2 linked regions of the Oryzias latipes genome follow. The protein of the gene in region 1 interacts with the protein of each later gene in a pairwise test. Links are inferred from orthologs where the notes say so. Each region holds a gene or a part of one and is shown in the gene's direction. Other genes may lie near its edges.

Region 1 (4,308 bases):
AATGCATCTACTTGCAGACGAATACATCCATTGACTTTTACTTTTTTTCTCGTCTGAGATGGAATCTGGCAAGAGACGGTACGGCTGAATAGCTCCAATATTGCTCGCCATTTTTGTTGCACCGCTAGCGTTAGCTTGGGGTTGTAAGTTAGTGGGAGAAGTGTAACCACACCCAACACCGAGCAAACTTCTAATGAACCACTGCCACTCTGCAGAAACTATGTCCTAGAAACGGACACAGAATTTTTTTTTTTAATTATTTTGCCCCAAAACAGTATAATGATAATTAAAAAAACACTGGAAATTTTTTTTTAAATAGATTAAAAATGACTGGAGTGGGACTTTAAAGCTTGAATGCTGACAAACACATGATACTATGAGCAAAAAAGGCAAAGGTCGCCTTTTAATTAAACCTTGTCTATGTAACAGAATTAACATCTAGTTTCAAGACTTTGACTTTTGTTCAAGTTAACCCATAGCTGTGTTCAGCTTCAAAACTATAGTGGGGGTAAAAAAGCAGTTTCTTCCTCAAGATCAGGATGTTTCAGCAAAATATAAAATCACCATGAGAAAAAAGTTATTCTGATTTAGTTCAAATTCAGAACTCAAATGAAAAACAAAACCCAAAAGAAATTGCCAACAATATTTAAATAATCGGAAAGTGGCGTGAGATTCTGGCAAAGCCTCCCCATGGCGCGGTGGCAGTTGTATTTGTGAATGTAGCATTACTGGCATTGTTCCAACACTTCTACGGCTGTACAGTAATCCCCCGCCCATTCGCGGTTTAATATTCGCGCCCCGCCCATTCGCGGGTGGCCACAGATGACGTGACGTCAGAAGCATGAGGCACAGAACAGCGCTCAGTCCGCAAATTTTGAAAAACGATTTACTCTGTACTTTACTGTAAAGTATTGTTTACGCGTTTAAGATGCCATCCAAACACCCTGCATCATCTCCAGCTTCTGGAAATGAACCCAAACGGCAGAAAAAGGTTCTGACTCTGCAGAGGCTCTGGCTCTGGGAGTTTTAAAACAGCGTCAATCATTCGCGGATTTTTGTTATTCGCAGGGGGTGAGGAACGTAACCCCCGCGAATACGGGGGGATTACTGTATAGCAAAAAAACTGATTGGATTTCTTTGGAACCGGAAGCAAGTAATTTGCTCTAAGTAACATCACACTTCCTATACAGTCAATGGTTTGGAAACAAAGGGGGCTTTCGGAAAGCTGAAGCCCTGGAAATCACAGCCGTTTTACACGGCCATGCCCACAAGCCTGGCCCACTATCCCCCATGTACGGAGCGTTACATCATTGGCACAGACACCCACCTTCCCGAGTGATGACGCAGCCCATGGAGGAGAAGCAGGAGGAGGAGGAATGTGAGAGGGTGGGGGTGAGGAGAGGGTGTCCCGTCTGCGCGCAGCTCAGTCAGACAGCAGAGAGCAGCTGCAGCAGAAGGCTCGTGTTAAGTTTCACTGCATTGCGATTTCAAATATCGATTATTTTACCCACATAAGCCACCCGAATAAGCTTGACTAGGCAACCAAATATCATAGAAGAAAATGGTTGATCGCGAGCAGCTGGTGCAGAAAGCCAGGCTGGCTGAACAGGCTGAGCGGTATGATGACATGGCAGCTGCTATGAAGTCGGTAAGTCACTTTCCAGAGAGGATGAAAATCGTGTGAGTGATGGTGAGTCTGCTGCGTCTGCGTAAAAACGCGCCACGGCTGTAAATCTGCGCGCACGCTGGCTCAATTTTACCGGCGCACTGATCCAAAAAATTCGAATTTAATCATAATTTGCTCCACAGTTGAGGCAATGTTGACACCTCACGTCCTCTTTTTTTTGGAAAATTATTTTTCATTTTTTACTCAGCAGTCGGGTCCAGACTTTCCGGTGTTTGGGCGGTGCCTCTGTCGGTTGTACATTTTATTGAAAGGGTATTAGAATGAAATGCATGCAAGCCCCACTATGCATCATCTGCCGCTCATCATATAATGGCCTTGCTCACTTCCATTAACTGCCCCCCCCCCCCCCTCTTGTAGTACCCCACCTCCTCTCCCTCCATTATGTTGAATTCATACAGTTGGAGCCTCTGCTACATCATGTGAGCTGCCTCCACCCCCATCCCCCATTCTCTTATACTTATCACTTAAATTATAACGATAATAATTACCCACAACTGCTCATGTTGATACAAGGCTTAAGGGCATTATCTGAGCATGATCACCTCAGGAAAAAGCCTCTCTAATCCTTCATTTCATCAAATAGGAGGCAGCACTAGAATATCTGCTGTCATATTGCAGAGACTTATTTCTATCCCAGACGTTTTAGACTCTCGTCTGTGCTCGTGTCCGTCCTGAGTGTGTCAGGGCTGAAATCCAGGGGCGATTTAAAGTTATTTCAGGGGGACGACCCTGATTGAGCAGTGCAATATATGATGGGAAGAGGATGACATGGCTGGCTTGCCACACATTAGCTCTCTCAGCTCTTATTGGCTGCTCAGGACTAAGTCTTTGTCTGCTTTTTCTTCCTCTTTCCCCCTCCCTCTCTCCTTTGGGGCCCTTAAGAAATTTTGACACCGGATGCACCGGTGGGCATTAAGAACTGCTGTGTCACACCAGCTCACAGTGAAACCAGCAGCATCCAGACTTGCCAGTCCATGCCCAGATAAAGAGCCCGGCACGGGAGGAACATTGTGTCTTAATGCCCCTGTAGAACATCAGAGCCTATTTGGATCGTTTGCCATGAAGGGTTTCTGGTTGCAGGTGGTGAGGAGGGATTCCTTTGCCTTTCTTGATTCTTTTGAAGAAGAGGTGGGATGGGGTGGCGGTGAGGGGTGCCCTTTTATTCGAAGGGAATCCCTTGCCACTGCATCCACAAATGACAAATGAGAGGCTGTCACCTTCGTGTTCCTCATGAAAAATGCAACGCTGCTCTTCGTGGTTATCAATTAAAGAAATGGCCTTCACAAATCAGCTTCGACCAGCAGCGTGAAACCAGAAAAATCAATCCAATTGTTAAAAAAAAAAAATTTTTTCTTGACACCAGCAAATATTTCCTTCGTCATTCAAATAACGGATGGGCCACTCTTAATGACCTTGTTGTAACCCTTCAATAATGACAATTGAACGCCAAAATGTTTGATGTACGCCGAGCATAGCTGCAGTTCCAGCAGTGATCGCTGCAATCATTAAATTTTAAGTGCTCCTCTGTTCGTGCGCTCTACAAAAATTATTATCAGATCAATATGAATCTGCTTCATTTCATAGCGAAAGCCTCACAGTTGTCGCCTGCGGTCAAATCGGATCATTGCGTGTGCATTTTTGGACAGGCCCTGTGAAGGCAATTCCATCTGTGCCAATTTAGTGACGTCACGTGTGCCATCTTTACGCCCCTCTGACTGAACAGAGAAAAATTGAAAGCGTTGGTATAGTACAGCTGAATATCAGTGTGTCTTTCCTGCATATGTAACAGCCGTTTTTGAAAACTCCATCGATCTATGCCAGCACAGAGCGCCTCTTCCAATCATTTACCCAGAGTGGTATGACCTCTGTGCAGTCATACTGATCCATCCAGATCCAAAATTATCTGTCCGAGTCAGAGTGATGTCACATCACGGAGCTTAAAACAGGTAAAAAGGTCACTTAGAGCCGAAGAGAAGGTCAGTGGGACACGTGCAGTGACAGTTTTCATTTACACTGCAGCTGCCCTTGAGTCCTTGTGGGAACATTTCTGTCTCCATCCTTCTCGTGCCCCCCCCTCACTGGAGCAATCTAAGTACAATATAATTTCTCACTAGCTAGCATTAGATGTACACGTGGCAGCTGGAGCTACTGATGTCTAAATGAATGGATTGCCATGGAAACTAGGAATTGGACAAGCCCAATCTCACTCATTCGCGTCACTGCAGACGACACTGACCGAATGATAGAAGGATGGATCCTTTCTCCGGATGAGCCAAACTAATTGTCATTGTGCAATGATTCCATTGTTTTCTTTCATTGCTTTACAAATGTAGTTTGTGGGCCTCAGGAGAAATTCTTTAAGTGCATCCCTATAGAGTGATTTGCCGTCATTGCAATCAGACTGGAAGGGGAAGATGAGTTAGCTGTTTTATAACAGATTGTTCTTAGCAAATTTATTTCAACAGTTTTTAAAAGATAGAAAAAAGCCTTCCCTTTTTTAATATTTCGTGAAAGATTTATTTTCTTAGTCAAAATTCTATTGCATGAATTATAGCCTTTTGCGCCTTCCTTCTTCCAGGTCACAGAGCTGAACGAGGCCCTGTCCAATGAGGAAAGGAACC
Region 2 (3,650 bases), on another chromosome or scaffold:
ATGCAATTTCTAGCTTAATTTTCTTTATACATGTCCTCCACCGTGAGAACAATTGCCACAAGAACACGTTAAAAACACCAAAAACATCATTTCCATTGGAGTGGGTCTTAAGCAATCCACAAGTTGTGACCGGCTAAGAAAGTTAGAAATGAATGTCTATAAGGGAGCAGTTCTCTGCCTAAACCAGAGCTCCGTTGGCTCCATCATCTCTACATTTGAGGCATTGAATGTGAATGCATTTTCTTGTGCCAGCTCACACACAAGCCCTCTGTTTGCGCTGTTGTGCGCGCTCGTGAAGGGTGCCTGCCACTGGCGGTTAAACGTATTCTTTTTCCATTTCTATGGTACTATGATGTTCCTCTCCTCAGTCCATGGTTCCTGTTTCCGTGGAGGTGCAGAGGTTGGATGAGTCGCCATTTTCTGTCAGCTGACGGCTGCAGATTTTACACGCATTGCCCAATATTGGAGAAGCACAGACTAGTGACCTTTTAAAAGTGCTTTCCTTGACTTGGGAAATATGTTTTTGTAAACGTCGAGGCTGCAATGTGGATCTTGCAACACTGGATTCAATGAAGTTGTTTCTAGTTTGGTGTGTTTTGTAGAATTGACGATCTTTGCAGTTTTCTTTGTCGTCGTGAGCTGGATAAGGATGTTGCATTCACTGACCCTTGGACTTCTTTTATTGAGTTATTGCTTCTTAGAACCAAAACTACATTGAAGTTTCCAGCAGGTTGTTGCTCTGGGTCATTTTTTTATGTGCTATAATCCTTGTTAATGTAACAAAATTTGGTGTTAAATGAAAACAATCTGTTGTCAAATGTTAACCTTCAGATGGGCGATGTTCTGGATATGAATGACTTTCAGTTGCAGCTTTTTTCAGCAGCCGTTTGGAGTTATTCATCACACTTGTTAAATAAAGCTGAGGCATGCAGAGGTTATGGACTATGCATAATTCTACATCTTGTAGATACATTTTTTTATTCACTCGAGTTCTTTTCTGCATTTCGTCAACATGCTAGCATTTTTGGGGATCCCCTTCCTCTGCAGTTGTGTTGGCTCAGAGGCTGCTGTCCTCAGCTGCGGCTGGAAGTCACAGATCCTCCCACCCTGCGGTAAACATGTCCCTATAAATAGAGCTGAGGGAGAAACAAGCCAGCGGCAGAACGACAGGCATCCACACTACAAGCTCCAGCACAAAAACACACACCCACCCTCCCAACCCAACATCCCAAGATCTGACCCTGTGGCTCCTGCTCCCACTCGGGGCCCCCAGTCAGGTTCATCCAATCCGTCATCACCGAGAGCAGCAGTCAGAAGGTGCTTTTTCCTCACGGCCCGGTTTGTGCCTCTGTGGACGGCATCTGTTCCTGTGCATTGCTGCGTGTGCTATTCACAGAAGTAAAGGTCAGGCTGGGAAGAAGCGTTCTGCTCGAATACTTTAAATTCTTGTGTGTAAATACTTGGGAGACGGGAGGTAGTATTCTGATTATTTTAGCTCATGAAAGACATGTGACTCCTCGTTACAGCTGTGAAACATGACACCCCCCTTTTAGAAAAGTTTTTTAAATCTAACTTAAACACATAAGTTAGCTAGTAAGAGCAAATATTTTCTGGCTACTTGTTGTTAAATGTTTTTTTTTTTTTTATGTGCAATTGAAGATCCAATATGAGGAACAGGTCCAAGCAATTGACTTTTCTTCAGCTTGATCTCCAATGCTTGGTGATTTTAGCACAATTTTGCAAAGACAAAAGAGGGTTTTTTGGGAAAACATCTATTGCTGCTCTTATTTTGTCTTATTTTAGCAGCAAAGTAAAATTAGAATCGGAGTCTAATCAGTTTTAAAGCATCTCATCAGCATTGCCCTTTATAATCAGCGGCTTAAGAGAATTTTTGACCCTGTGGTCCATCAGCTGACTCGCTCGGATTCTCTGTGTTCCTCCTCCAGTGTGATTTGCCATGACGACTGAATCAGGCTCGGAGTCCAAGCAGCCGCAGGAGAACAGGGAGGCGGAGAAATCTAAAGCGGCGGAGGAGCAGACCTCACCACAGAACCAGCCCGAGAAGTTCCCCGCCGCCGCCGGACACAGCACGCCGGCCAAGAGAGAACAGGTCAGCGCGCAGAGCTTTCCACGGCGGTTCTGACACAATGGCCTCCAAATCACGCCGTTCCCCATCTTTCTGTAGCATTTACATGGTAGAGAAATGAAGAATGTGTTTTGGCTGCTTTGTTGACCCAATTAACTTTGATTAACTTTTTTCTAAATGCATACTGTCTTTTTTGAAAGACCTCATTAGTAGTTCTTCATGAGGTCCTTCTGAATGTCATAACTCTTTGTCTTACGGTCAGTGCTCTTTGCTTTTAGCATCAGAATAAGGAAAGGACATTGACTGCAGCTCCGCAGTGTCACACCGCCACTATGTTCATTTAACGCATTTTCTGTGAAGAAATCTTGCGATCATGCAGATGTCCATTGAGGGTTTCGGGTCTTTAGTTACAAGTGCTATAACTGCAGAGAGCGTCCGTGCCTGAATGAACCAGCAGAATAGCTCTATATTAGATGATGTGGGGGACGTGACCATGGAAGCAAAAGAACATCTGCAGCAGGGCGTAACACTCGATCCTCCTGGTGAATGTGAAGAACAAACGTCTGAAGCCTCTTTTTCAGGTTAAAGCCGGTCAGGGTCGGCTTTGTTTTCACTGAGGTGGAAAATTAGATTTTTCGCTTAAAGACATAATGGTGCTGAACTTCTGATCTCATCTGCTTGGTTGGATTCAGTTTTACTTGGGTAGGAATGTGAGGAAACTGGTGTTTCTTCTGAAAGAAAGTGACGGGCGAGGGCTGCAGGTGAGGGTACTGCAGAGCTGTTTAAAACCCTTTCAGTCTCCAAAAAAGAATCATCACAGTGGGGTTATAAGTAAAGGGTTAATGATGTTTTCTGCTTTCAGGAGCAGCAGAGAGAGGATCAGGTGTCCCACAGGTCGTCCTCCAGTCGTCTGTCCAAGTCTCCTTTGAGGGGAGTCCGTAAAGTGAAGATAATGCAGTGTAAAGTGGCCCTGCTGGACGGCTCCGACTACACAGTGGATGTGGAGGTGACTTCTGGCTCTTCAATAAAAACAAATCCCTCATAGAGCCATAGATGTTTAAAAAACCGTTTCTGCATCATCCTGTTTTGTTCTGATTCTAGCATATAAAACCAGTCCTAACACAAAAATCTGAATCCTCTTCTTCCTCTGTGGGACCTGAAGGCAATCTGCAGCGAACAGAGCGTTCTTCTTTGGCTCAAACTGGTGGTCTGGAGTCTTTTCTGGAAACAGATGCAATTAAAGTCCCTCTCCAATCCTCTGCTGATCTATTTTCAAAAATATTGTCGTTTTCTAGGACATAATTTCTGCAGAGCGGCATTAGTTCATCAGAAATTCCCCTCTGATTTGTGGTTGGCGACATAAACCAGAGGAAGTAAGCCTCTGCTTATTTCCTATCATCCCTTTGTTTGCAGTCTCTTCTGCTACTTTACAGCCCCTCACAACTGCAAGCTAACTTCACTGAACAGAAATGGCAGCAGTACCAGACCTATCCAGCCGAACATTTTAGTATGGCGTTTCATATCTGCCATAAAGTGAAAGGGCATGAAGACAAATGAATGGGCG

What was found.
Region 2: the proteins of ywhag (region 1) and epb41l3 interact in binary tests that used the Homo sapiens proteins (3 or more experiments, as listed by UniProt). The link is inferred for Oryzias latipes from reciprocal best matches to the Homo sapiens genes YWHAG and EPB41L3.

What each region holds. Positions count from the first base shown.
Region 1 is NC_019871.2:9,989,298-9,993,605, reverse strand, and holds the start of ywhag (14-3-3 protein gamma), read left to right. Parts: upstream 1-1,404; 5' UTR 1,405-1,561; coding exon 1,562-1,648; intron 1,649-4,265; coding exon 4,266-4,308. UniProt on the Homo sapiens protein: Adapter protein implicated in the regulation of a large spectrum of both general and specialized signaling pathways. Binds to a large number of partners, usually by recognition of a phosphoserine or phosphothreonine motif.
Region 2 is NC_019875.2:4,944,774-4,948,423, reverse strand, and holds part of epb41l3 (band 4.1-like protein 3), read left to right. Parts: intron 1-1,946; 5' UTR 1,947-1,957; coding exon 1,958-2,110; intron 2,111-2,948; coding exon 2,949-3,092; intron 3,093-3,650. UniProt on the Homo sapiens protein: Tumor suppressor that inhibits cell proliferation and promotes apoptosis. Modulates the activity of protein arginine N-methyltransferases, including PRMT3 and PRMT5.